3 linked regions of the Macaca fascicularis genome follow. The protein of the gene in region 3 interacts with the protein of the main gene of each other region in a pairwise test. Links are inferred from orthologs where the notes say so. Each region holds a gene or a part of one and is shown on either strand. Other genes may lie near its edges.

The links.
Region 1: the proteins of L3MBTL2 (region 3) and MEAF6 interact in binary tests that used the Homo sapiens proteins (3 or more experiments, as listed by UniProt). The two-hybrid records come from large-scale screens. The link is inferred for Macaca fascicularis from reciprocal best matches to the Homo sapiens genes L3MBTL2 and MEAF6.
Region 2: the proteins of L3MBTL2 (region 3) and ZFY interact in binary tests that used the Homo sapiens proteins (3 or more experiments, as listed by UniProt). The two-hybrid records come from large-scale screens. The link is inferred for Macaca fascicularis from reciprocal best matches to the Homo sapiens genes L3MBTL2 and ZFY.

What each region holds. Positions count from the first base shown.
Region 1 is NC_088375.1:197,409,766-197,419,800, forward strand, and holds the start of MEAF6 (chromatin modification-related protein MEAF6), read left to right. Parts: upstream 1-5,041; 5' UTR 5,042-5,049; coding exon 5,050-5,139; intron 5,140-6,236; coding exon 6,237-6,352; intron 6,353-10,035.
Region 2 is NC_132903.1:2,517,699-2,527,718, reverse strand, and holds the start of ZFY (zinc finger Y-chromosomal protein), read right to left. Parts: upstream 4,995-10,020; 5' UTR 4,513-4,994; intron 1-4,512. UniProt on the Homo sapiens protein: Probable transcriptional activator. Binds to the consensus sequence 5'-AGGCCY-3'.
Region 3 is NC_088384.1:10,403,965-10,413,978, forward strand, and holds the start of L3MBTL2 (lethal(3)malignant brain tumor-like protein 2), read right to left. Parts: upstream 5,849-10,014; 5' UTR 5,834-5,848; coding exon 5,658-5,833; intron 1,706-5,657; coding exon 1,468-1,705; intron 1-1,467. UniProt on the Homo sapiens protein: Putative Polycomb group (PcG) protein. PcG proteins maintain the transcriptionally repressive state of genes, probably via a modification of chromatin, rendering it heritably changed in its expressibility.

The DNA of each region.
Region 1 (10,035 bases), on a different chromosome or scaffold from region 3:
GATACACACTGACTTCAGATTCTTGAATTATAAGACAGTATAAAATGTTCATGATTACTATTTTTCTAATTTAAAAGAAGTTTAGAGGTGAGGTTTTGCTATGTTGCCCAGGCTAGATTTGAACCCCTGGGCTCAAGTAATCCTCCTCCCTGCAGCCTCCCGGGTAGCTAGGATTACAGGTGTGCACCACCGGCACCTAGCCATGTTACTATTTTCAAAGAAATAAATGAACTTGAAAATATCCACAGGTCGGCCGGGCGCAGTGGCTCAAGCCTGTAATCCCAGCACTTTGGGAGGCCGAGACTGGCGGATCACGAGGTCAGGAGATCAAGACCATCCTGGCTAACACGGTGAAACCCCGTCTCTACTAAAAAAATCCAAAAAAAAAAAAAAAAAAAAAAAAATCGGCCGGGCGCGGTGGCTCACGCCTGTAATCCCAGCACTTTGGGAGGCCGAGGCGGGCGGATCACAAGGTCAGGAGATCGAGACCACGGTGAAACCCCGTCTCTACTAAAAATACAAAAAATTAGCCGGGCGCAGTGGCGGGCGCCTGTAGTCCCAGCTACTCAGGAGGCTGAGGCAGGAGAATGGCGTAAACCCAGGAGGCGGAGCTTGCAGTGAGCCGAGATCGCGCCACTGCACTCCAGCCTGGGCGACAGAGCGAGACTCCGTCTCAAAAAACAAAACAAACAAACAAACAAAAAAAACAAAAAACAAACAAAACAAAACAAAAAAAATCTAGCCAGGCGAGGTGGCAGGCGCCTGTAGTCCCAGCTACTTGGGAGGCTGAGGCAGGAGAATGGCGTGAACCCGGGAGGCGGAGCTTGCAGTGAGCTGAGATCTGGCCACTGCACTCCAGCCTGGGCAACACAGCGAGACTCCGTCTCAAAAAAAAAAAAAAAAAAAAGAAAATATCCACAGGTAACAGTTATGGGAATAAGTGAAATGGGAGTTATTTAGAAGACCAAGTAGAAGTTTCAGAAATGAAAAGTATAATAACTGTAAACTCATCAATCAGTGACTTTAACAGCAGATTAGTGCAGCTTCAGGGAGAATTAGTGAACTAATAGAACTAATGGATAAGAATAAATTATCTATCCATATTCTTTTTTTTTTTTTTTTTTTGAGACGGAGTTTCTCTCTTATTGCCCAGAGTGCAATGGCACGATCTCGGCTCACTGCACCCTCCGCCTCCGGGGTTCAAGCAATTCTTCTGCCTCAGCCTCCTGAGTAGCTGGGACTACAGGCGTGCACCACCATGCCTGGCTAATTTTTGTATTTTTAGTAGAGACGGGATTTCTCCATGTTGGCCAGGCTGGTCTCGAACTCCCGACCTCAGGTGATCCACCCGCCTCGGCCTCCCAAAGTGCTGGTAATACAGACATGAGCTACCGCACTTGGCCTCATTTTCTTTTTTTTGAAACGGAGTTTCGCTCTTTTTGCCCAAGCTGAAGTGCAATGGTGTGATCTTGGCTCACTGCAACCTCTGACTCCCAGGTTCAAGTGATTCTCCTGCCTTAGCTTCCCATGTAGCTGGGATTACAGGTACGCGCCACCACGCCCGGCTAATTTTTGTATTTTTAGTAGAGACAGAGTTTCACCATGTTGCCCAGGCTGGTCTTAAACTCCTGACATCAGGTGATCTGTTCGCCTCGGCCTCCCAAAGTGTTGTGATTACAGGCACTACAGGCGTGAACCACCGCCTGGCTTTTTTTTTTTCTGTCACCCAGGCTGAAGTGCAGTGGTGCAATCCCAGCTCACTGCAACCTCCACCTCCTGGGTTCAAGCGATTCTTCTGCCTCAGCCTCCCAAGTAGCTGGGATTACAGGCGCCCACCACCCTGCCCTGCTAATTTTTGTATTTTTAATAGACACAGGGTTTCACCATGTTGACTGGCCTGATCTCAAACGCCTGACCTCAGGCAATCCACTTGCCTCGGCCTCCCAAAGTGCTGGGATTACAGGTGTGGACCACCATGCCCGGCCTATGCACATTAATTTAACTTAGATGAATGGACCAATTCCTTGAAAACTATAAACTACCTTGTTATGGCTTGGATGTTTTGTTTCCTCCAAATCTCATGCTGAAAGTGGTCCCCAGTGTTGGAGGTGGGGCCTGGTGGGAGGGATTCAGGTTATGGGGGTGGATTCCTCATGAGGGGCTTAGTGCTTTCCCCACAGTAACGAGTTCCTACAAGATCTGGTTGTTAAAAAGCGCCTGGAACTTCCTCTTCTCTCTCTTGCTCCCTCTCTTGCCATGTGACACACTGGTTCCCCTTCACTCTTGGCCATGGTTGTAAATTTCCTGAGGCCCTCACCTAGAAGCGTGCACAACTATGAGCCAAATATGTCTCTTTATAACACAGTCTCAGGTATTCCTTTATAGCAATGCAGAACAAACTAATATAGGAAATTGGGATGGGAGGAGTGGGGGATTGCTATAAAGATACCTGAAGATGTGGAAGTGGCTTTGGAACTGGGTAACAGAGAGGGTTTGGAAGAGTCTGAAGGGCTCAGAAGAAGTCAGGGATACAAAGAAACGTTTGGAACTTTGGATGGTGGGTACTGGTCACAGTGAGCTGAGATTATGCCATTGCACTCTGTGACAAGAGCGAAATTCTGTCTCAAAAAAAAAGAAAAAGAAATATTGTAAAGAAATGCATAGATAGTTTGGCAGTTCTTTTTTAATATGAAGCTGGATTTAGTGTGAAGCCAAATTTCACATCCGTGCTTGCATTGCTTCACACTATGTTTACTGTTTTGCATGGATAGTGCTGGCACTGGAGTACTTATTGGTCATGTGCCTAGAGTGAATTTCTTGATTTTGCAGGATCTTTGGTGATATTGGTGGACTTAAGGATATTGAATTGTGTATTAGGAATAAAATATTCATTATGTCAAGTTTTGGGGGGCTCTGGGTAACACTGTAGCCTCCAGGGTAGATTGAGTAGGAAAAATTTAGGGTTGGTTTCCTGTTTGTTTTTGTTTCTAATTTTCATTCATTTGCTGTTTATTCTCCTCTGGGCCTTGCTTGTATATGCATCCATCTATCTATCTATCTATCTATCTATCTATCTATCTATCTATCTATCTATCTATCTTGGCCTTTTGGCTAAGATCAAGTGTGTATTCATATATATAAAGCCATGATTTTTTTTTTTTAATTTTAGTTTCTATTGGAAGGCTTTTATTTGGTTTTGTGAATAGTTACTTTGCTGCCCATGCGTTTCTAGCAGGTCATCATTTGTTCAGGCCCCCAGGAATTGATGGAGCACACCAGCTTGTCTCGCTGTGTCCCCCAGGCTGGAATGCAGTGGCGCAATCTCCGCTCACTGCAAGCTCCGCCTCCCGGGTTCACACCATTCTCCTGCCTCAGCCTCCTGAGTAGCTGGGACTACAGGCGCCCGCCACCACGCCCGGCTAATTGTTTATTTATTTTTTTTTTTTAGTAGAGACAGGGTTTCACCGTGTTAGCCAGGATGGTCTTGATCTCCTGATCTTGCGATCTGCCCATCTCGGCCTCCCAAAGTACTGGGATTGCAGGTATGAGCCACCACGCCCGGCATGCATTCCTCTTAAAACAGGGAACAAGTCAAGGATGTTTAATGTTATCATTTTTATTTAACAGACTACTGGAAGTCTGCACAATAAGGAAGAAAAAGAAAAAGAAGCCAGCTTAGAAAGAAAAAAAAAAAACGCCCCATTTGCAGATGAAATTATCTATGTAAAAAATTCCAAGGAATCTATACAAAACCCCCCTAAAATTAGTAAGGAAGTTCAGCAAGATGGCAGGTTACAAGATCCGCACACGAAACCAGTTATTCAGAATGCAGCACAGAGGGACAAAAAGATAGAAAATATAGACGGTAGGTTAAAAATAAAGGTTTCTTATGTTCGAGTTCCAGAAAGAGAGAGAATATGAGACAGGCATCTGAAGAAAAATGACTGCGATTTCCCAAAACTGGTGGAAGATACCAACCCACAGATTATAGAAATCCAAAGACTTCCAAGCAAGAAACAAAACAAAAAGAAAAAATATCCCACTTAGACTTATGATAGCGAAATTGCAGAAGAGTGAAAGATGGAGAGCTGAGGAGGGAGAAATCAACAGGGGCCAAGTGAAAACAACGTCTACACCTTGGACTTAACGATAAAAGCGAATTCGTACTTGCAGAGTCATTGGCACCTGCCAAACCCCTTACACACATTAGCTGATTTACTCCTCACAGCAACTGTATTAAGTAGATTCTATCACTGCTTTCATTTTACAGATGAGGGAGTTGAGATTTGGTTATTTACCCAAAGGGGCACACTTTATCGATGTAGCGATAGGATTTTGAACAAGGTAGTTCTCGCTCCAGTTTTGTGCCCTTAACCACTACACATACTTGTTTCTCCAAAGGGCAATGGGAAAATGGGAAGCCACTGAAAGGCTTTAAACAGGGGAGTGATAACATTTGTTTCTGGAAGATTCCGGCACCACTGTGGATAGTGGATTAAATGGGGCTAAAGGTGGAAATAAAGAAGCTGTTGGAATAACGTAGCCCCAAACAGGGAGGGCCTGAATGAACTAAGAAGGTGGCAAAAGGCGCAGGCACAAGCAAATGGATTCGCGAGCTCTTCCGGAGTCGAATCCACAGGGCTTGACCTGGTATCGCGTTTTACTCCGGGTGCAGAGTGAGGAAAACCGGGTTTCTGACGCAGGCAATTGCGGTGGATAGTGAAAGTCATTCACTGAAGTGGACTGAGGCGGGACGCACAGGAGACTCGGAGGCCTGAGGACGAGCTAGGCTTTGGACACGGTAGATTTGTGCCGTCTGTAAAGCCCGCGGCCAGCCGAGGGGCAGGAAACGGCGTAAAGGGCAGAGCAGAAGCCGACTCTCTGGACCTCTCCGAGAAGGATCGTCCAGAGTCCCGGCCGCAGAGCACCTCTGCGCGGCGCTGCACGCGTCTCCGGAAGCCGCGCGCGCAGGCGCAGTGCGGGGGGCGCCCCCTGGCGGCGCAGGGACCGCCCCCAACCTCGCGCCGCCGCCGCCCGCCTCAGCCCAACATGGCGATGCACAACAAGGCGGCGCCGCCGCAGATCCCGGACACCCGGCGGGAGCTGGCGGAGCTCGTGAAGCGGAAGCAGGAGTTGGCGGTGAGGGGCTAGGACCGGGGTTGCCCGGCATGGGGCTCCGCGCCCGCCCCGCCTCCAGGCCCCAAGCCCGGCTGCGCCAGGCCGTTCGTTACTCCGGGGGCGCGGCGCGGCGGGCTGTGTGCTCGGCGGCCTGAGGCCGGGTGCGCATTCTGCGGCCCGCCGGCGGTTCAGCTTCCCGGCTGTGCGAATCCGGAGCCGGGAGGGAGCTGGGAGCGCGGGAGGGGGAGGGGCAGCGGCAGCCGCAGGAGGGGGCGTGGAGGGAGGACGGTGCCGGGGCTCGGGACTCGGGGAGAGGGCGCTAGGAAGGGCGAGGCGGGCGAGTCCGTGATCTTTGCGGGGTGGGGGTGGGGTAGGAGGCTAGTGTGGGAGGGGGACCGAGTCACCCTGTCTGGACTTTGGAGGATGGTGGGGAGCGTGTTCTTTTTGGTACTAGTAGTAGATCCGTTGAATGGAGGCTTTTGATAGACAGGGTTGTGATGTGTTTGGGAATATCTAGAAGGTGACAGGCGAGGGAGAAGAACACATTCTGGAGAATTCGGAATTGTGACAGGCACCCAAGGCCCAATGCACCCTGGTGGCTAAGCTCTTCCTGCCCTCACGTCTCGGCTTGGGCACCCCGGAGGCCCCTCTCACCTGAAGCTGCCCTTCCAGGTTTCCATAGCAACTGGCAGCCCGGTGCCGGCGGCCTCTCTGAGCCTGCGGGGAGGGGAGCGAGTTGACGCTGAAAGGCTGCTCACCCTTCCCTCTCCTGGTAGCGATACCTTTTGTGCGTGGGAGTGGATATCGCACAAGTTCTGCGTTAGCCTGGGTTCTTGACTCCTGGTTTCCGTGAATCCTCTAAAGTATATGCAAAATTTCGCGTGTGTGTGTATTTTTCTGGGGACATGCTTTATACATTCAGAGGTCCATCACACCCAAAGGTCTAGACTGTCTTAGTCCTAAACGGCTGCTCCTCCCCATATCATCCATCTCTCCACAGGGTGATTTAGTGTGGACAAGCTTGCGTTTACAAATCTAATATCAGGATTTCATTTTGGTCAGACTTAAGTGTTTGCATTTAAAAGGCATTATTCATGTCCTTGTTTTTCATCTCTCAGGAAACACTGGCAAACTTGGAGCGACAGATCTATGCTTTTGAGGGAAGCTACCTGGAAGACACTCAGATGTATGGCAATATTATTCGTGGCTGGGATCGGTATCTGACCAACCAAAAGTGAGTGTCGAAAGCCTGTAGTGTTCCTATTGTGTTCCTATTGTGTGTGTTTGTAGGACTGTAGGCTCTTAGTAGCAAGTTTGCTAGAGGCAGTAGTAAAGTGGTGGTGTGGTCTGGACTTGAACTCTTGGACTCTGGCTCAGGCACTGCCTCACTGAATAATCTTAGACAAAGCTCACGTCTGTAAAATAGCAAAAGTTGGGCCTTTGGCACAGGGTTGTGTGAGGCTTAAATACAGCATATAACAATATCTTTATACAACATCACTCTATTAAATTTTTTACACATTTTAATCAGTCGTGAGTTCTACCCTCACAGTATTTTTCTTTTCTTTTTTTCTTTTTCCTCCTGAGTAGCTGGGATTACAGGCGCATGCCACCATGGCTGGCTAATTTTTTTATTTTTAGTAGAGACGAGGTTTCTCCATGTTGGCCCAGCTGGTCTTGAACTCCTGACCTCAGGTGATCTGCTGCCTTGGCCTCCCAAAGTGCTGGGATTATAGGTGTGAGCCACCATGCCTGGCCACTTTTCTTTTTTCTAAGAGACAGGGTCTCATGCTGTTGTCCAGGCTGGAGTGCAGTAGCACAATCTTAGCTCACTGCAGCCTCAAACTCCCGGGCTGAAATGATCCTCCCACCTCAGCCTCTCAATTAGCTGGGACTACAGGCACACAATACTGCACCTGACTAATTAAAAACATTTTTTTTTTTTTGTAGAAGTGGGGTCTCACTTTGTTGCCCAGGCAGGCCTGGAACTCCTGGTTTCAAGCAGTCCTCCTGCCTCAGGTTCTCAAAGTGTTGGAATTAAAGGGGTGAGCCACCACGCCCAACTGACCCTCACAATTTTTGCCATACCTGTGTGCCAGCTGTACCACTGCTTGCTTAGTAATATTTTTAAAAAATTTCTAAACTTTTGGATTATCTTCAAGTTATAGAAAAATGGGAAGAATAGTATATGAACACTTGATACTGTCCTACCTGTATTCAGATTGTTAATGTGTTGTGACATTTGCTTTCTCTTACTCTCTATAATATTAATATAAGCACACACCTGTATTTACATTTCACGTTTTTAAATTGTGAAATAATTATAGATTCATAGGGAGTTGGCAGAATGGTCTTTTGTAGTCTTCATCTAGTTTTCCCCAATAGGTGTGTTGTTTTTTTTTTTTTTTTTTTTTTTTTTTTTTTTTTTTTTTTGAGACGGAGTCTCACGCTGTTGCCCAGGCTGGAGTGCAGTGGCGCGATCTCGGCTCACTGCAAGCTCCGCCTCCCGGGTTCCCGCCATTCTCCTGCCTCAGCCTCCTGAGTAGCTGGGACTACAGGCGCCCGCCACCGCGCCTGGCTAATTTTTTGTATTTTTAGTAGAGACGGGGTTTCACTGTGGTCTCGATCTCCTGACCTTGTGATCCGCCCGCCTCGGCCTCCCAAAGTGCTGGGATTACAGGCTTGAGCCACCGCGCCCGGCCAATAGGTGTGTTTTATATAACTCTAATACAGTATCAAAGCCAGGAAATTGACGTTGGTACAATGTATATATATAGTTCTATGTCACTTTATCTTGTGTGTAGATTCATGTGACCACAATCAAGTTACTTCAGGAACTATTCCATTACCACAAAGATCTTCCTCATGCCACTCCTTTGTAGTTATATCTCCCTGTCCCCCTACCTTTTTTTCCTACTTAACTGTTTGAAAGTTAGATGCAGATATACTGACACTTTGCACTTAAATGTGTCAATAATTATCTCCTGAGTATAAGGACATTTCTCCTACCTAACCAGTTATTATACCTAGAAAATCAGTACTACATTAATAGTATATAATACATAGTCTTTATTAAAATTTCCTCAGTTGTCCCAAAAAATTCTTGCTGATTTGTTTTGATCCAGGATTCAGTAAGCATTCATGCATTGCATTTGGCTGTTATGTCTTAAGATTGAAGAGAGTCACCCTTTTCGTGGTGGTTGTGGTGATATTCATGACATTGCCTTGTAGAATATCGCAGTTTCCTGAGATTTTTTGAGGGCAAAACTCATGACTAATTAAAAGGATCCTGAAAGATCCTTTAAACATTTTTGCAAAAATGTTACATAGGCAATTGGTGTATCTTTTGTTATCTATCTCTCGTTTACCAGGAGGCACATAATGTCACGTTGTCTTATTATTTGGTGCTGTTAAGTTTGACCATATGATTTATCTGCTATAAAAGTTCGTTTTTTCCCATTGTGTTAACAAGTAATTTTGGATGTTATGCTTTGAGACATTATGAAAATACTGCTTCCTCTAAATTTGTATTCAGTTGTTTAGTGTACACCGTTGATTCTTATCTGAATCCATTAGTACACTGGAAGTTGTAAAATGGTGATTCTCTAATTTTATTATTCCCTTTATTACTGGCATTCTGAGAAAGAGTCTTCCTTTTTTGACTTCTTTTCTTTCATTCTCCCACATTTGTCCCAACTGTGGTCAGAGGGAGCCTCTTCAAGCTGGCTTGTTTGTCGTTTTGACGTGACCCTATTATTTTTGGAGCACTCCATTGCTTTCTGGCCTAAAAGATGTCCCATACTTACCTTGTGCATTTTTTGTCCCAGACCTGGTATCAGCCATTCCTCTAAGGAACCCTGGTTCCTACTTTAAATTTGAGAATTAAGTTTATTTAAGAGACACTTCATATCACTAATCTGTTCTCGACTTTTTAAATAATAAGCGTTAAAATAAATACATATTGGCCGGGCACAGTGGCTCACGCCTGTAATCCCAGCACTTTGGGAGGCTGAGGCGGGTGGATCACCTGAGGTTGGGAGTTCAAGACCAGCCTGACCAACGTGGAGAAACTCTGTCTCTACTAAAAATACCAAATTAGCCAGGTGTGGTGGTGCATGCCTGTAATCCCAGCTACTCGGGAGGCTGAGGCAGGAGAATCGCTTGAACCCGGGAGGCGGAGGTTGCAGTGAGCTGAGCTTGCATCATTACAGTTCCGCCTGGGCAAGAAGAGCGAAACTCCGTCTCAAAAAAATATATAAATAAATAAATAAGGTAAAATAGATACATATTAAAATGAAAATGTGGCCAGGCACAGTGGCTCACACCTGTAATCCCAGCACTTTGGAAGACCAAGGTGGGTGTATCACTTGAGATCTGGAGTTTGAGACCAGCCTGGCCAACATGGTGAAACCTTGTCTCTACTAAAAATACAAAAAGTAGGCATGGTGGGGTGCACCTGTAGTCCCAGCTACTTCAGAGGCTGAGGCAGGAGAATCACTTGAACCCAGAAGGTGGAGATTGCGGTGACCCAGGATCGCGCCACTGCACTCCAGTCTGGGAGACAGAGTGAGACTCTCTCAAAAAAAAAAGGCTAGGTGTGGTGGCTTACGCCTGTAATCCCAGCACTTTGGTAGGCTGAGGTGGGCAGATCATGAGGTCAGGAGTTTAAGACCAGCCTGGCCAACTTGGTGAAATCCCATCTCTACTAAAGATACAAAAGAAAAAATTAGCTGGGTGTGGTGGTGCGTGCCTGTATTCCCAGACTACTCTGGAGGCTGAGGCAGGAGAATTGCTTGAACCTGGGAGGCGGAGGTTGTGGTGAGCCGAGATTGTCCATTGTACTGCAGCCTGGGTGACAGGGTGAGACTCCGTCTCGGAAACAAAAAAAAAAATAGACTGGGCGTGGTGGTTCATGCC
Region 2 (10,020 bases), on a different chromosome or scaffold from region 3:
ATTGACGTAGATTCCTTTGTGTCTCTCCTAGATTCCTTTGTGCCTTTCCTAGATTAAAATTCCTCTTTCAATTAAGCAAAATTTGGTTAAAATCTAGTTACTCTCCTTTATTACATTTTACAGCTAAATAAGAGCGCCATATTTATTAAAATACTATGTTTAAAACAATTTAGTAAGAAAAAGAATGGGCTGTCAGCCAAGGTAGATGGTTAAAGCAATGGTGGAAACATGTTCCTGAGAATCCTGTTTTCATCTGCTGCCTTCAAAAAATGAACACTCAATACTTACACAATTCAAGAACACTATTTGGCTCCTTAACTTCAATTGGAGGGCCATTCAACTCCATATAAATCTCTGCATTAAATTATTTCAAATGATTTTTTTGAAATAATGTTTATCTGCCAGATCATTCTGTTAGCGGAACAAATCAAGGTAAGAAACTATCTACTATAATTAAGGGCTTCAAAAGTTAGGGATGAAAACAAAAGTATAAACCTACATTTAGAATACAATAGATTAAATGTTAATTAAAGATATCTACACTGCTCTAAGTGACAAGGATGAAAGAAAGCCTGGTAAAACGGTAGTGTCTGGAAAAGGAAGATAGCAAAAAGCAGGAATTATTTTAGGGACTCTAGGGCAAAAGAGGTTCAATGCACATTACTGGGCACCTACTCTGTGCCAGATAAATTTGGTTTCAGCAATATTGAATATGGACTGTTAATAAAAGGTCAGGATGGAGGTGTTCAGTAAGTAACTGTAAATGCTAGATGAGAAATTTGATGAGTGAGAATAAGAGACAGGGATGCCAGGGAAGAAGTTTGGAGAAAACGAGTAATTAATCTCAAGTTAAATTCCACATTTAGGTTAGGAAAATGACCAGAGCAGACAAAGAAAGGACAGAGAGTTTCTGAAATGCAGTACACTTTCAGGTGACACACCAATTACCTGCTGTGGAACAGTTTCACATGTTGAGAAATACCAGATTTAGAAGTGGGAAGAATAGAAATAAAAGTACTAGTGAAACTAAAGAGAAGACAGATACGCTTTTTGTAAAATAAGCATATCTATGAATATTTATAGAAAGGGGCAGGCAGAGAGTAAGGAAAGGGTAAACAGAGAAAATGAACTTTGAAAGCAACACTTCTCCCAACAAAAGAAAGTAAAGTGAAGGAAGAACTAAAGCAAAAGTATGAAATGAATGAGATCAAACATTTGCATCATATGGTCATCTATCTTTCTCAATTCAGTAACAAAATAATATGCTGGCATTGAAGAACTTAAGAATCTAAAAAAAGTTTGCAATTGCCAGAACGCATAAATGCAACAATTCAAAGGTAGCAATTAGTGACAATACAAATGTAAACAGAGTCAGAGTTATTTTTTTATATATATATATATATATATAAGCACTGTATGCTTTAAAAAAAAAAGGGGGGCATCTATTTAAAAAATACACATAAATTAAAAACTAACAACTCATTTATCCAAGATAATTGGCTAGCAGAAGTCCGGCACAGTGGTTCACGCCTGTAATCCTACCACTTTAGGAAGCCAAGGCAGGTGGATCATCTGAGGTTTGGAGGTTGAGACCAGCCTGGCCAACATGGTGAAACTCCATTTCTACTAAAACTACAAAAATTAAAAATTAGCTGGGTATGGTGGCACACACCTGTAGTTCCAGCTACTTCGAAGGCTAAGGCAGGAGAATCGCTTGAACCCAGGAGGCAGAGGTTGCAGTGAGCTGAGATAGCAACAATGCACTCTAGGCCGGGTGACAGAACGAGACTGTCTCAAAAAAAAAAAAAAAAAAAAAAAAAGACTAACAGATCGTCAAGGTCTATCCCATCAGGCAAAAAAGTACTTTTTACTTAACAATTTCCTTATAAATCCTTTAAAACTATGCACTTGCCTGTCTTCTTTTTGCACATCCATTGCTGATGTACTGGAACATCTACAACTGCTGTACTGTACAAGATACAATTCTATCTTCTTTACAGCTCTTCAGTTGTCAAGATATAAATCAACTACCTCTACAGTTTATGTTGGCCCTTAGCAAGTCAACAACTAGATTGCATTAAAAATTTGCTTTGATGGCCGGGCGCGGTGGCTCACGCCTGTAATCCCACTACTTCGGGAGGCCGAGATGGGTGGATCGCGACGTCAGCAGATCGAGACCATCCTGGCTAACATGGTGAAACCCCGTTTCTACTAAATATACAAAAAAATTAGCCGGGTGTGGTGGCGGGCTCCTGTGGTTCCACCTCCTGGGGAGGCTGAGGCAGGAGAATGGTGTGAATCTGGAGGCAGAGCTTGCAGTGAGCCGAGATCGCGCCACTGCACTCCAGTCTGGGCGACAGAGCCAGTCTCTCTCTCAAAACAAAACAAAAAAAAAATTTTTTTTTTCCTTTGACTACCTCCTGCAATACACTGCCACACTTTTGTAAACCATCAATCTCTAGTTTCCTTCAGACTTCTTTGAATCATCAGAGCTCTGATATGCTAAAGTCTGGGAAAACTGAAAACCTGCCTTTTATAAATTGTAAAAGTCTAGGAAACAAGTGCTGTACATGTTCTCTGAAACTACTGCATCTAGGACCCTCACATATAAAGTGAACTGCCAATTTTAAAGCTTGCTCACCTGAAGACTATTTTCATCAGAGGATTACCTTCACCAAGAAGGGCAATGTTTGCATACAGCCATCTGAAGGCTACTGCATTTCTGACAACTGGTTTTTTTTTTGTTTTGTTTTTTGTTTTTGTTTTTTTTTTTTTGAGACAGAGTCTCGCTCTGTCGCCCAGGCTGGAGTGCAGTGGCGCGATCCAGGCTCACTACAAGCTCCGCCTCCCGCGTTCACGCCATTCTCCTGCCTCAGCCTCCCAAGTAGCTGGGACTACAGGCGCCCCGCCACCACGCCCTGCTAATTTTTTGTATTTTTAGTAGAGAGGGGGTTTCACCGTCTTAGCTAGGATGGTTTCGATCTCCTGACCTCGTCGCCTCGGCCTCCCAAAGTGCTGGGATTACAGGCATGAGTCACCACATCCGGCCAAAAAATAGCTACATTCTTGATCATCTATCCGGTAACGGAAACACCAATTTACTACTAGCCCTCAATGCTTCTCAGCCTTGAAACTGTTCTAACAGCTGCAGCCAGAGCTCAGCATAATCTCAGGTGTGCCACGAACGCATTTCAGAATCTATCTTTTACAGCCTAAATTTGTATCCCTTTCCTATCTATATTACACACTCCAGCCAAACCGTAAATATTTGCCATTTTCTACAGACATTTCATTCTTGTAATGACCTCTCCTACTCCCACCCTACCTAAGAAAATCCTACTCATCCCTCAGTAACCCTAGCTAAACCCCATTATCTACTTCAGGAATCCTTTCCCAATTTTGCAACCTGAAACCTCGCCTTCCTGTGAAATGCCCACAGCAAACTTTTTGCAGTCACGTTCTGCATTAAGCGCCTTTTAAATCTTTCTTAGTACCTAGCACTGTCCAACGCTCACGCTACTGTGCTCCAATTTGCCAGCAAAGTTGCACAAAATGCTAACAAGTCTTTTGAAGATGAAACTGTATAAGAAATTTCAAATAAAATCTCAATGTCATCATGGGTATATGAACCTACAAGTAATGTATTGTCCTTCAAAGAGAAAAATACCTCTTCTGCCTATTTTCCATCTCTTACTCAAAAAAAAGTATCCAGACTAAAAAGCTCGTTTAAATACAGCTCATCAAAAGTTTTTCCACATAAATGAGAGAAGTCGCCTTAAAATTTTATTCCTCTGCCCTCGTGCTATATAATTTGTACTGTACTGTCTATCGAATGATGTCTAATAACTTTTTTTATAATAAATCCCATTGATATTTTTCAGATCCTCGAGGAGGCAATGATGGTTGCAAAATAAGCGCATGGAAGGTCCCCGAACAGCCACATAATGACTTTAATTAGGAGAAAATAAAATTTTCTGGAATTTATGTGCTCTCGTGAGCCCAGGTGCCCTAAGTGCCACCTGCCCAGTAGGGTGCTATAGACTCTGGGAAAGACACAGAGCAGGGAGCGCTGCGACTCCGGCACCCGAACAGACGTCTGCAGCATGTCAGCTAAAGCGTAGCCGACACAGCCTCCAGCCAGGGACCGGCTGTGAGGGGAAGGCCGAGAGGTGGCGCTGCTGCAGGAGTCTGGAATGTAAGCGCGCGCATGGCGACAAAGGCAAAGGCCGCCAAGGGAACGAGCACGCCCCGTCGCGCAGACACGCCGTCGCGCCGGAATCTGGGCGGCCGCAGCCGCCGCCGCGGCCGCCCTTTTCCCCATCCCCGGCTCAAGGATCATAACGGAATTCTTTTCCAGATACCGCCTTCAAAATGGCGGCTCCGCCTCCCGACAACACTTTCAATACTCCCCAGCAGCAGGCGCCTACTATCCGCCATCTTGCCCCCGGTCCCTCCTCCCCTTCGCGGACATTTACATAGCGAAAATAGGCCCAGCAGGCCTCCGGCCTTCACCTCACGCCTGCAGCCTTCGCCTCCTCGCCAGGCCTCGCCCCCGTGCCGCGCCCTGGGTCTGCAGTGGTTCGACCCCGGGTCCACCAACCGCCTTCCGAACAAACAGGCGACCTTTTCCCACCCCTGCCCGCTTACGGAGCGCACCTCCGCATCCTCTCAGGGCGGCCGAATTATTCCCAGGCCTAACTGCGGCCTCCTCGGGGCCTGTTCGGCGCCGAGCGCCACGCCGGCCGGCCTAGCGCGGGAGGGCGCCCTACGGGACGCCGACCAGGCCACGAGCAAGTTACTGCGCGCGCACTAGGCCCCGCGGCCGCGGGGGCACGCGGGACTCACCCGACGGACTTGCGGGCCGCCGGCGACAGCGGCGGGTGCTGCAGGCCGGCCTTTCTCTGGAGCACTGGGCCGGGCTCCGGCTGGTAGGGCGGGCGGAGGGAGGGAGGAGGGGCCGAGCTCGGAGCTGACAAAAAGCGGCCCAGCTCCCCGGCACAGGCCCGCCGTCAGCACGTCACGTCACCGCCCGGGAGAGAGACCCAGGAATATGCGGGATGGTAGTTGGGCCCCCTCCGCCCGGTGGGCCTCCCGGCGCCCCGGGTCGCCGCCGGTCACGCCCCGAGACTGGGGAGTCCAGTGACCTCACTGCGGTGGGGTCTCCGGCAGCCGGAGTTTCCGTCACAACGTTCTTTTCTTCCGCGCTCCCGCCCGCCGTCACCACTACTCGCGCGCCACCGCCTCAGTCGGTGGCGTACAGGCAAGCGGCCCCGCACCGGCCAGGCCACCCCCTGCCATCTCCGGTGGACCTCGGATTCCTAATCTCCCACACCCTGCCCCAGGCCTCCCCGAGACCTATTGCCTCTCCGCGCCAGTCCTAGCCAAGGCAACAGCTCTCATTGTTTGCTTGTCCTTAGACCCCCCGCACGCAGTAAATGTGTTTTCTTTATTCCTAGGGTTGAGGAGAAAAGCAGATGCAGAGATACAGATACAGACAGCATCCCCCACTGGCTCCTACGTTCGATTTAAAAATTAAAAGAAAAAAGTAAATGGACTTACCAGTGTGCAGGCAAGAGGAGGGGAGGGTTATCCTAAATCAATTACTAAGCCATTTGAGTTTTTTATGTTAACGTAGGTATTTTGACCAAGGTCTGTAATGTTTAGTATACGTTCTCTATTGCAATGTTTCATCTTTTGGCATCCTTGAAAGGTCAGTTTTGTGTAATTTTCTCATAAACAATGAATTATGCACATTCGTTAATAAGTGTAAACTAACAATTGGTTTGGGGATTGTTTTCTTACAAAATTATCCTCTTAAAGTTTAAAAAACCTTTAAAATGCATTTGATTAAACAGCTTGTACTGATAAACTACAAAAACGTGTATGTGTTTTCATTACGGTTTTATGCGCGCTAACTTCCTATTAAACTTGGGACTCGGACTGTGTTTGAAAGCTGCTACTAAAAAGTTAAATATGCCTATCGCCGTGGCTCACCTCCGAGCGCTTTGGGAGGCCAAGGCTGGAGTATCGCTTGAGGCCAGAAGATACAGGCCGACAGCTGTGATCAAGCCACTGCACTGCAGCCTGCAGGCCAGAGCCAGTAACCTCTAAATGTAGAGGCTAAGTATTTCAGTTTTCTAGCATACCGATTTTTAAAACTCACAGAAATCATCTTGTCCTTACCTGAGACACCTAAAAGTCATAAAATGCTTTACAAAAGAAAAACCAATGGTACATAGTTGGTATAATGAGATTAGTGGCTGGATAGCAATTCTCTTTTCAAACCATTGGTTTGACCTTTTTTTCTCAAGTGGTTACATTTTGTTTCAAACATGATAAATGAGAGGCAGCTCACCCCTGTAATTCCAAAACACTTTGGAAGGCTGAGATAAAATCAGCTTGTGCTCAACTGAGAGTTGGAGACAAGCCTGGAAAACAGGGAGATACATCTGTACAAAAAAAACTGAAAAGAGCTGAGTGTGTTGGTACACGCCTGTAGTCCCAGCTGTGGGGAGGCTTAAGCCCAGTTGGGCTATGATTGTGACACCACACTCCAGCCTTTATGACAGAGCAAGATCCTATATTTAAATAAATAAATAAATGTAAATCTTGTTTGAGAAAATTTCATCAAGTTAAGACAATGTATTTTGTGGAAAGAAGTATTTTTACAATGTCTTTCAGTGAAGAACTAGCCTAATTTCATACATAATTAACATAACTTCAAAATACTGATAAAGTTAAAGTTTTTAGAGAGAGTACCTGGCTCTTGCCACCCAGGCTGGAGTGCAGTAGCCCCTTCATAGTTCACTCGGCTTTGAACTCTCCAGTTCAGTGTAACAGCCATGGTCTCCCAAAGCACTGGGATTACAGCTGTAAATCAAATATTTCCCAAAGGCCTTCATTTAATGCTATGATATGTCAAGAATGGGATCTCATATCATCCACTCAACTGTAAGCAGCATGGTCAGAACACAAAAAAGGTAAACATTGTTAATACTTCTATGCTAATCAAAAATCCCATTATTATCAAAAATTACCAATATATAAAGCACTTCAGAAAGAACAGCTAAGGAATATAAAGGAAAAAAAGATGTTTCCTAATCTAAAAGATCAGAGGTAGTTTAGATAATGAAAGTTTAAACAGCTTTTGACACTACTTTTCATTCATAATGTTAACTTTTCTTAAGAGACAAGGAAAGGATGGTCTAATTGTAGTTGTCATATAAGAAGAGTCTTTATTACAGTCCAAGAAAGATTATAAATGACTCCACAGATGAAGTCGACTATATTACATCTTTTTATTTTCTCAGACACAACAGAGGGAAAATTTATACAAGGACAATGATGAGATAATATTTCAAAAGTATATTGTGAATACAAAATAACTGGCTGCAAAGCAAATAAGCTTTTATTACTGATAAAATGTACCTGTTGTTCAGAGTTGCTAATGTGTCTCAGCTTTGAAAGTAACCAGCTCACAAAGATCATGGTTTCAATAAAGTAGCTACAATTGCATAAGCAAGAGACAGTACAATGTCTTTATGTCTTTTTCCAAAAGAAGATGAAGAAAAAAAAAAACTGAATTTTTCTTTCCATTACTAAGAAGGAATTTACAAAAGAAAGATTATAGTAGTTTTTGAGAAAGCAGAGACACTTCAATAGTACAGCATTCATTCATATACCAAAATTTAAAAGCATGTTATCTAAAATGTCTCAAAAAGCTTTATGGAACCAAAATTTAAAGACATCGTATCTTAAAAAATCTCAAAAAGTTTTATAGAACTAAGTGTATTCGGCTGCTATGGCGGCCATGAGGAAATCCCACACTGAGTGGTTTAATCAACAGAAATTCATTTTCTCACAATGTCAGAAGCCCCAAGTCCAAGGTCAAAGTATTGATAGGTTTGATTTATTCCAAGGCCTTTCTAGTTGACTTTTAGTGATGGCAGCCATATCATTGTCTTCACCTGATCTTCACCCTGTGTCTATGTCTGACTCTCTTGTAAGGACACTAGTATTGAATTAGAGATCACCCATATTACTTCATTTTACCTTAATTACCTCTCTGCAAATGCAGGCACAGTTGGAGGTACTTGGAGTTATAATTTGGGGAAGGACCCATTTCAGCCCAGAATACCCTCTGGTGGCTCAAATGCATCTTATTTCTCACATGCAAAATACATCATTACTAGGGTGTGTCAAAAAATGTTGTGATCCAGTTTGAAGAGGCTTGTACTGACTAATAATGAGTATCATAATAACACGTTATAGAAATGCACTTAACCATTCAATGTATCCAAAATCATGAATCTACAATAACATATTTCAAAAAATTACCACCTTTGAGGAATGGTACAGAACCAACACTTATGAGAAGAATGTTTGATTATGAAAAGAATAACATGTTTAGCTCATACAAATTTTCCCAACCAAAAACAGTGATAGCAATTTTCTCTTTATAGATGTATTCCCTTTTTCAGTCTGTTTTCTTATCACGTCATGTAGCCTCCAGAAAATTCCACTGTACACCTGCGGAAAAATAAGAATGCAAAAGGCAGTATTTATAGTTATATGGAAATAGTTTTTTGTTGTTGTTGTTTTGAGGAGTCTCACTTTGTCGCCCAAGCTGGAGTGCAGTGGCGCGATCTCGGCTCACTGCCAGCTCCACTTCCCAGGTTCACTCCATTCTGCTGCCTCAGCCTCCCGAGTAGCTGGAACTACAGGTGCCCGCCACCACGCCCAGCCAATTTTTTTTGTAGTTTTAGCAGAGACAAGGTTTCACTGTGTTAGCCAAGATGGCCTCAATCTCCTTGTGATCTGCCCACCTCTGCCTACCGAAGTGCTGGGATTACAGGCCTGAGCCACCGCACTCAGCCTGGAAATAGTTTTGAAATTCCCCTTGAAACAGTATGGGGACCCTCAGACCAGACTCTTGAGAAAGAATTTGTGAGTTAAAATGTAATAATAGTTACACGGAGTGTCTTTGTTATAACATTTCCAGAGAATGCACAAATATGCCATTTTCATCCACCAAAATAACTAAAACAGAAATGAGGGATTTCATGTCAGAGTTCTTACATGGCAGACATTGACAACAAAGAAGAGTCTCATCTTGGACAAGATTTGGGGCTGGCTGTGGTGCTTCATGCCTGTAATCCCAGCTCTTTGGGACAAAGAGGGTGGATCACAAATTCAAGACTAGCCTGGCCAACATGGTGAAACCCTGTCTCTACTAAAAATATAAAAATTAGGTGTGATGGTGCATGTCTGTAGTCCCAGCTAGTCGGGGGGCTGAGGCAGAGAATTGCTATAACCCAGGAGGCAGAGGTTGCAGTGAGCTGAGATTGTGCCATTGCATTCCAGCCTGGGCAACAGAGTGAGACGCCTTTTCAAGAAAAAAGAAAAGAAAAGAAACTGGTTGGCCGGGCGCGGTGGCTCAAGCCTGTAATCCCAGCACTTTGGGAGGCCGAGATGGGCGGATCACGAGGTCAGGAGATCGAGAGACGATCCCGGCTAACACGGTGAAACCCCGTCTCTACTAAAAAAATACAAAAAAATAGCCGGGCGAGGTGTCGGGCGCCTGTAGTCCCAGCTACTCGGGAGGCTGAGGCAGGAGAATGGCGTAAACCCGGGAGGCGGAGCTTGCAGTGAGCTGAGATCCGGCCACTGCACTCCAGCCTGGGTGACAGAGCAAGACTCCGTCCCAAAAAAAAAAAAAAAAGAAAGAAAGAAAGAAAAGAAACTGGTGAAGAGACAAAAATCAAAGCAGATTTGTTCAGATGATGGAAAATCCTCAGATTCTTACAGGCTTTAGAGAAAGACTTTATGGTCTGGTAGAAAGATCAACAGGATACACTGAAAGCTTGCCTAGAGTAGTTAAAAGATGAGTCAATACTCTCAAAAACCTGCAACTTCAATGTGCACAGAGGCCAAATTCTATGAGGAAGTTTATGATCCTGAAAGGAAGTATGCTACTCCCTCTCAACCTCTATTTGATATGTGATTTGATATTATTAATGC
Region 3 (10,014 bases):
GGAGTTCAAGACCAGCCTGGGCAACATGGCAAAACCCTGTCTCTACAAAAAAAACCACAAAACTTAGCCAGGCATGGTGGCATACGCCTGTAGTCCCAGCTACTCAGGAGGTTCAGGTGGAATGACTGCCTGAGCCCAGGAGGTCAAGGCTGCAGTGTGAGCCATTTTCACACCACTGCACTCCAGCCAGGGTGACAGAATGAGACCCTGTCTCAAAACAAAAAAAGTTTGGGATCCAAGGGATGGCAGTGTCATCACAGACTAGCCTGCCTCTCTTCACAGGCAGCCCACACATGGGAGGCCGTGACACAGGGGTTCAGCAGCTGTCCAAGCATCACATTTCTGAACTCAACTGGCTTCCAGATGATCCACAGGGATTCTCATCTGCCCGCCCCCAACCCAATCCTCCTACCCAGGGTCACTTTATCATGTATTACCTCCCCACTCCCACCCTGACTTCCAAGCCACAAGCTATTTGTCCCTTCTCAGAAAGGAACCAAAACACTTTAGGTTTCCTGTCTTCTAACATCCAGGCTGGAAATCCACTGTATATACTTACACAAAAAAGCAGCACCGTGTTATTCAGCGGCATCTAAACTGTGCTGAATACACATTAGTTGTATGAAAGAATGAATGAAGTCACAATGTGAAATTAGACTGGGGCCGGGCACAGTGGCTCACTTCTGTAATCCCAGCACTTTGGGAAGCCGAGGTGGGTGAATCACCTGAGTTCAGGAGTTTGAGACCAGCCTGGTCAACATGGTGAACCCCCACCTCTACTAAAAATACAAAAATTAGCTGGGTGTGGTGGTGGGTGCCTGTAATCCCAGCTACTTGGAAGGCTGAGGCACGAGAATCACTTGAACTCGGGAGGTGGAGGTTGCAGTGAGCCAAGATCATGCCACTGCACTCCATCCTGGGCAACAGGGCGTGACTCAAGTCTTTTTTTTTTTTTTTTTTTTTGAGACGGAGTCTCGCGCTCTCACCCAGGCTGGAGTGCAGTGGCCGGATCTCAGCTCACTGCAAGCTCCGCCTCCCGGGTTCATGCCATTCTCCTGCCTCCGCCTCCCGAGTAGCTGGGACTACAGGCGTCCGCCACCTCGGCCGGCTAGTTTTTTGTATTTTTTAGTAGAGACGGGGTTTCACCGTGTTAACCAGGATGGTCTCGATCTCCTGACCTCGTGATCCGCCCGTCTCGGCCTCCCAAAGTGCTGGGATTACAGGCTTGAGCCACCGCGCCCGGCAACTCAAGTCTTAAAAAAAAAAAATTCAGCAAAGGAAGTACCGCTGTGGCTACTTGGGCTGCTTCTGTCTCTCTTACAGATCCTTACACATCTGATCCCTTAGAAATCACAGTTAACAGCCTTTTACATATGGATGGCTCTGCCCATATAGCCTATATCCATCCCCCTCTTCCTCTATAATCTTCTGACTCCTCTCCATCCTCAGGGGACACTCTGAAGGCACCTGGCTCAGAACCACTGCCATCCAAGGAGCGAGGAGTCCCAGGGCTGAGCAAATGCAGGGGGGAGGTCGGCAGTTCCCCTGCTTCCCGATCCTCATTTTCTGCTTCACTTGACTCCTCCAGATAGGAGCTGCTCTCACTGCCCACACTGCTGTTATAACTCCGGAAACTATCATAGCCACCAAACAGCTCCAAGTCATCATCTTCCTCTTCCTCCATTGGTTCTGAAGACGGGGTCTCCTAATGGAGGATGACACAAACCAGGTAGAAAGAATTATGGTTGGCTTTAGTGCACGGGGGGAGAAGCTGCAGATCTGCTATCAGCCCCCTCACACTTCCGGGAACCTTCCAAATACCAGGATCATTACTCCTATTTCCACATTTCTCCACCATGATGCAATACAACAGCTTAACAAGACAGAAAATATGTGTTAGGAATTCACCAGGCTCCTCTGTGGATTTCCAAATGATGATATTTTAACATGGTTCAAATAGAATACTGTGTAACAATGAGGGCCGGGTGCAGTGGCTCATGCCTGTAATCCTAGCACTTTGGGAGGCCGAGGCCGGCAGATCACCTGAGGTCAGGAGTTCGAGACCAGCCTGGCCAAGACGGTGAAACCCTGTCTCTACTAAAAAATACAAAAAAATAAATGAGCCAGGTGTGGTAGTGGGTGCCTGTAGTCCCAGTCACTCGGGAGGCTGGCGCAAAGAATCGCTTAAACCCAGGAGGCAGAGGCTGCAGTGAGCCAAGATTGTGCCACTGCACTCCAGTCTAGGTGACAGAGCGAGACTCTATCTCAAAAAAAAAAAAAAAAGTGAAATATCCTAAGGTACTTTACAAAGACTTTCTGGGGTAGAAGATATATATTACAAATTAATTCTTAGCCGGGCATGGTGGCCCATACCTGAAATCCTAGTACTTTGGGAAGCCAAGGCGAGTGGATCACGAGGTCAGGAGTTCAAGACCAACCTGGCCAAGATGGTGAAACCCTGTCTCTACTAAAAATACAAAAATTGGCCGGGTGTGGTGGCAGGCGCCTGTAATCCCAGGTACTTGGAAGGCTGAGGCAGAGAACTGCTTGAACCTGGGAGGCGAAGGTTGCAGTGAGCTAAGATCGTACCACTGTACTCCAGCCTGCGCGACAGAGTGACTCTGTCTCAAAAAGAAAAAAGAAATGTCTTCTGTGTTCAATATTACATCAAAATGATCTCAACTCAGAAACAGTTTAAGTCACAGAAAAGTTAATTTGGGACCCAGACTGCTCCAAAGAGGATCGGAGAGGCAGATGACACACAGATAACTGTGGCATCTTGGGGTGTACTATAGCGCTAGATTCAGCTCTGATCCTAACTAGCTATAGGGCCTTGAGCAAGTCATTTAACTTCTGTGGGCTTCAATTTTCTCATCTATAAAATAAAAATATTTGACTCAGCTGGGCGCGGTGGCTCAAGCCTGTAATCCCAGCACTTTGGGAGGCCGAGACGGGCGGATCACGAGGTCAGGAGTTCGAGACCATCCTGGCTAACACGGTGAAACCCCGTCTCTACTAAAAAATATGAAAAAAAACTAGCCGGGCGAGGTGGCGGGCGCCTGTAGTCCCGGCTACTCGGGAGGCTGAGGCAGGAGAATGGCGTAAAAACCCGGGAGGCGGAGCTTGCAGTGAGCTGAGATCCGGCCACTGCACTCCAGCCTGGGCAACACAGCGAGACTCCGTCTCAAAAAAAAAAAAAAAAAAAATACAAAAAATTAACCAGGCGTGGTGGTGGGAGCCTGTAGTCCCAGCTACTCAGGAGGCTGAGGCAGGAAAATGGCGTGAACCTGGGAGACGGAGCTTGCAGTGAGCCGAGATGGTGCCACTGCACTCCATCCTGGGCGACAGCCAGACTCCGTCTCAAAAAAATAAAAATAAATTAATTAGCCAGGTGTGGTGGCATGTGCCTGTATTCCCAGCTCCTTGGAGCTGAGGTGGAAGGATTGCTTGAGCCTGGGAGGTGAAGGCGGTAGTGAGCCATAACCATGCCACTGCTATCCAGCCTGGGCAAGAGAGTGAGATACTGTCTCAAAAGAAAAAAAAAAAGCCAGGTGGTGGTGGTATGCACCTGTAGTTCTAGCTACTCAGAAGGCTGAGGTGGGAAGATAGCTTGAGCCTGGGAGGTCAAGGCTGTACTGAATCATGGTCACATCATTGCACTCCAGCCTAGATGACAGAGGGAGACGCTGTCTCAAAGGGAAAAAAAAAAAAAGGTGTGAAGAGCTCAAATACCATCTCTAGTGCTTACTTGCTGTGTGACCTGCAGCAAGTCAATTTTGCAGTGTTTCAGTTTCCACATCTGTACAATGAGGATAGTACCACCTATTTCACAGGGTTTGGGGGCTGGCCACAGTGGCTCATGCCTGTAATCGCAGCACTTTGGGAGGCCGAGGCAGGAGGATTGCTTGAGCCTGGAGTTCAAGACCAGACTGGGCAACATAGGGAAACCCTGTCTCTACAAAAACTGGAAAAAATTAGCTGGGCGTGGTGGTTAGGGAGGCTGAAGTGGGAGGATCTCTTGAGCCAGGGAGGTCAAGGCTGCAGTGAGCTATGACTGCACCACTGCACTCCAGCCTGGGTGATAGAGAGCAACTCTGTCTCAAAAAAAAAAAAAAAAAAAAGGATTTGGGGGAGAAGTAAGAGACAATACAGGCAAAGCACTCAGAATAGTGACTTGCATATAGTAAGTGCTCAATAAACGTTGCCAACTTTTACTGGTTGAAAGCATAGACTATGATTTGCCTAGGTTTGAATCCTGGCTCTAACATTTATTAACTGTGTGATTTTGTGCGTATTTTATCTTGCTACCCTCAGTTCTTCATCATTACAAGAGAGATAATAAGCTTTCTTTAGATAATTCTTATGAAGATTAAGATATGTAAAGCCTAGTTCTATTTCCAGCAGTCAGTAACAGCTCTAAAAGTGTGACATGCTATTATTCTCCACATTATTATTTTCCTTTACCCTTGCAGAATGTTTGAGCTATTCCACTTTATATTTGCAACTATACATGCAAATATGCTAGAAAGGAAACAGTTCAAATATAGGTACCCTTGTCAGGCAGGGTGACAGAGACCACCTATAGTCCCAGCTACTTAGGAGGTTGAGGTGTGAGGATTGCTTGCGCCCAAGAGTTCGAGGCTGCAGTGCGTTGTCATCACGCCTGTGAGTAACCACTGCACTCCAGCCAGGGCAACAGAGGAACACCCCGTCTCTTAAAACAAATATAAAGTGCCCAGAAACCAAATGATTAAAGGATGAGGCGGGGTGCAGTGGCTCACGCCTGTAATCCCAGCACTTTGGGAGGTCGAGGCGAAGCAGTCAGATCACCTGAGGTCAGGAGTTCGAAACCAGTCTGACCAACATGGTGAAACCTCGTCTCTACTAAAAATATAAAAATTAGCCGGGTGTGGTTGCGCATGCCTGTAATCCCAGCTACATGGGAGGCGGAGACAGGAGAATTGCTTGAACCCGGAGACGGAGGTTGCAGTGAGCCGCGATCGGGCCACTGCACTCTAGCCTGGGCAACAGAGCAAGACTCCGTCTGAAAGAAAAAACAAAAGGGATGAGTGGGTTCCAGGTTGCAGTACAATGTGAAAAGCATAACAGATAGTTTCGGAGGCGGACAGACTTAGAGCCAACCTCCTTCACTTTCCAGCCGGGGTAACTTCCTGGGGCGTCGCACCACCTCTAAGCCTCAGTGGCTTGAACGACAAAGACGAAAGAATAATAATTCCTGTGAGGGTACTGGAAGATAATGCACATGAACGTTACAGACAAGGAGTGATGTTCACCCAACGTTAATCGCCCTTCACTTCCCACCTCATGTAACAGGCCTCACAAGCCCTAAAGAACACGGCCACGAGACAATGAGGATAAAGAATCGATTCAGGAGCTCTCACATCCTAAACCTAGTTCCCCTTCCCCCAGGCCAGGGACGGCTGTTCCTCCCTGAACTCGCCGAACATTGGCCCCAGCAGGAGAGGAGCAAAAAGTAACGCCAGTCGCCTCTGGCCCTGGCTCAGTTTAACTATCTCAGTTTATCCATCCTTCCACCTTCCATCCTCCAGACGTCGCTAAAAGCCCTAAAGAAGGGTCCACGGAGCGAGGATCTCGGGGTTCCCCTTCCAAGTCACGCTAAGTCCTCTCCTTCTCACCTCAATACTCGGGGGCTTCTCCATGAGACCTCAGTTTCGCCAAGCGTCACCAGGTGCAGGAAGCCATATTGGCCTCGTCGCTCTCCACGAGAGCACTCATTGGTCGCCTCCCTGAGCCGCGGGCCAATCACGCTGCAGGAAGGAGGAAAAGCCGGTTCCGTGCTTGCTCGCGCCATTCTCTCCCTTTGGGCGGGGAAATCGCGGGCGCTTGTGGTAATTGTAGTTCGCCTTGGGTGTGCAGGGTGGGACGTTACCATAGTGACGTGGAAACCAGGAACGCTGGAAACCTGGTGCGCCTCACGCCGACTGTTCCAGTTACGCCAACCTCTTGACTTCATTGGGATGTTATTCACTAAACGGTTACTGAGCACCTATGATAGTCACTGTTCCAGACTCCAGGAATAACCTCGTACTCTCCCGAGTTAGGTATTTAAGGTGTCCTTTTGCTGGGATGCATAGCAGAGGGACTCATTTCCAACTCAGGCAGAAACTGAAATACTCCAGATTGAAAAGAAGAAAAAAAAAGAAAGAAACTGGAATACTGTGTGTGTATGTGTGTGTGTGTGTTTTCTTGAGACGAAGTCTTGCCCTGTCGCCCAGGCTGGAGTGCAGTGGCGCGATCTTGGTTCACTGCAACCTCCACCTTCCGGGTTCAAGCGATTCTCGCGCCTCAGCCTCCCAAGTAGCTGGGATTACAGGCGCCCGCCACCAAGCCCGGCTAAGTTTTGTATTTCTTAGTAGAGATGGGGTTTCACCATCTTGGCCAGGCTGGTCTTGAACTCCTGACCTCATGATCCACCCGCCTCAGCCTCCCAAAGTGCTGGGATTACAGGCGTGAGCCACCGCGTCAGCTGAAACTGGAATATTCTTTTTCTCAATGCTGTAAGTGTCCAGCCTCCTCAAAATCTTGCAACCTTCCTCATGCACCACTCCCTCCTGGGTAAAAACCTTGAATCTGAGGCTCTCTGCCTCATCCCGTTAGGGTTTCCCACAACCTCTTTAGACACCCTGAGTTCTAGGTGCTGTTGTGGAGCTTTGCAAACATCTTTTCAAACCCTTACACATCCTATCACCATTTGAAAGAAGAGGAAGTGGTGGCTCTTCAGGTTTAGGCACTTTCCAAGATCACACAGGATAGGGATTCCAAATTTAGTACAAATTCCTTCCCTATGCTATGCTGTGTCCCAATGAATTAATTGAGACTCTAAATGCAATATGTGGAGGCTGAATACATACAAAACATATGCCTAAATTTGAGGTCCACCATGGAGATGTGAAACTCTTCCTAGATGTCTTTCTTTCCTTCAACCCCTTCCACCCTAAACCCCTGTATCCATGCTGCCAACATGTTGGTTTTTCTACCTCCAAAATATATCCTGTATTTCCTCCACTACCACTCTAATACAAGCCACCGGCCCATTTCAGCAGCCCTTCAAGTGGTCACCCTTTCTTTCCTTCCTCCCTCCCTCCCTCCCTCCCTCCCTCCCTCCCTCTCTCTCTCTCTTTCTTTCTTTCTTTCTTTTTTGAGACGGAGTCTCGCTCTGTTGCCCAGGCTGGAGTGCAGTGGCACGATCTCGGCTCACTGCAAGCTCCACCTCCCGGGTTCACACCATTCTCCTGCCTCAGCCTACCAAGTAGCTGAGATTACAGGTGCCCACCACCATGCCAGCTAATTTTTTGTATTTTTAGTAGAGAGGGAGTTTCACCGTGTTAGCCAGGATGGTCTCAATCTCCTGACCTAGTGATCCACCTGTCTTGGCTTCTCAAAGTGCTGGGATTGCAGGCATGAGCCACCGCGCCCTGCCCTCTTTCTTTTATTGATTGATTGGTTGATTGAGATGGAGTCTCCCTCTGTCATCCAGGCTGGAGTGCAGTGGGATCTCTGCTCATTGCAACCTCCGCCTCCCATGGTCACCCTTTTTAAATCTTCACCTTTAATCCACACAGGTGATCTTTAAAACTCATAGACCTGGCCAGGCACAGTGGCTCACCCCTGTAATCCCAGCACTTTGGGAGGTCAAGGTGGGAAGATCACAAGGTCAGGAGATCTTAACCAGCCTGGCCAAGATGGTGAACCCCATCTCTATTAAAAATTCAAAAATTAGGCCGGGCTCGGTGGCTCAAGCCTATAATCCCAGCACTTTGGGAGGCCGAGATGGGCGGATCACGAGGTCAGGAGATCGAGACCATCCTGGCTAACATAGTGAAACCCCGTCTCTACTAAAAAATACAAAAAAAAACTAGCCGGGCGAGGTGGCGGGCGCCTGTAGTCCCAGCTATTCGGGAGGCTGAGGCAGGAGAATGGCGTAAACCCGGGAGGCGGAGCTTGCAGTGAGCTGAGATCCGGCCACTGCACTCCAGCCTGGGAGACAGAGCGAAACTCCGCCTCAAAAAAAAAAAAAAAAAATTCAAAAATTAGCTGGGCGTGGTGGCATGTGCCTGTAATCCCAGCTACTTGGGAGGCTGAGGCAGGAGAATCGTTTGAACCAGGGAGTCGGAGGTTGCAGTGAGTTGAGATCGCGCCACTACACTCCAGCCTGGGCAACAGAGCAAGACTCCATCTCAAATAAATAAATAAATAAATAAATAAATAAATAAATGTTCTGGAATGAGATAGTGGTGAAAAAAAAGAAAAAGAAAGATTGGTTCAGCAAGTGCAAAGGCCACATTGGTGGAACAGCAAGTGCAAAGGTCCTGGGGCCAACCCAAGCTTGGTACACAATAAACAGAAAAATAGGGAGAGTAGATGGATATAGCAAAAGATGGAGAGGGTGGCACAAGACGAGGTTAGAGAGAAAGCTGGAACCAGGTCATTCAGGGTCTTGTGGAGTGCTTGGATTTTATTCTGTGCAAGGGAAAGGCATTAGAGTTTGTTTGTTTGGTTGGTTTTGAGACAAATTTCACTCTCATTTCCCAGGCAATGGTTCGATCTTGGCTCATCACAACCTCTGCCTCCCAGGTTCAAGCAATTCTCCTGCCTCAGCCTCCCAAGTAGCTGGGATTACAGGCATGCGCCACCACACCTGGCTAATTTTTTGTTTTGTTGTTGTTGTTGTATTTTTAATAGAGACAGGGTTTCTTCATGTTGGTCAGGCTGGTCTCGAACTCCCGACCTCAGGTGATTCTCCCACTTGGGTGAATAGTCTTGATCTCCTGACCTCGTGATCCTCCTGCCTTGGCCTCCCAAAGTGCTGAGATCACAGGCCTGAGTCACTGCGCCAGGGTAAAAATTTTTTTAAATTAGCCAAGTGTGGTGGAGTGCACCTGTGGTCCCAGATATTCTGGAGGCTGAGGAGGGAGGATTGCTTGAGCCCAGGAGGTTGAGGCTACAGTGAACCATGTTCATGACACTGCACTCTACCCTAGTGACAGAGAAAAAAAAAAAAAAAGTTGTCTGGCTGGGCATGGTGGCTCGCGTCTGTAATCCCAGCACTTTGAGAGGCTGAGGCAGGTAGATTACTTGAAATCAGGAGTTCTGCTGGACGTGGTGGCTCATGCCTGTAATCCCAGGACTTTGGGAGGCCAAGGCGGGCGGATCGCCTTAGGTCAGGAGTTCAAGACGAGCCTGGCTGATGTGGTGAAACCCCGTCTTTACTAAAAATACAAAAATTATCCGGGCTTAGTGCAGCGTACCTGTAATCCCAGCTACTTGGGAGGCTGAATCGCTTGAACCCAGGAGGCAGAGGTTGCAGTGAGCTGAGATTGTGCCATTGCACTCCAGCCTGGGAAAAAAAAAAAAAAAAAAAGAATTCTAGATCTCCCTGGCCAACATGGTGAAAAACCTGTCTTGATTAAAAAAACATACAAAATATTAGCCTGGCGTGGTGGCACAAGCGTATAGTCCCAGTTACTTGGGAGGCTGAGGTGGGTGGATCACTTGAGGTCAGGAGTTTGAGACCAGCCTGGCTAACATGGTGAAACCCCATCTCTGCTAAAAATAGAAAAATATTGGCTGGGCACATTGTTCATGCCTGTAATCCCAGCAGTTTGGAAGGCTGAGGCAGGTGGATCGCCTGAGGTCAGGAGTTCGAGACCAGCCTGACCAATATGGTGAAACCCCATCTGTACTAAAGATATAAAAATTAGCCGAGTGTGGTGGCATGTGCCTGTAGTCCCAGCTACTCGGGAGGCTGAGACAGGAGAATTGCTTGAATCAGGGTGGCAGGGGATGCAGCGAGCCGAGATTATGCTACTGCACTCCAGTCTAGACGACAGAGCGAAACTCCGTTTAAAAAAAAAAAAAAAATTAGCTGGATGTGCTGGTGCATGCCTATAATCCCAGCTGCTCAGAGGCCGAGGCAGGAGAATTGGTTGAACCTGGGAGGCAGAGGTTGCAGTGAGCCGAGATCTTGCCACT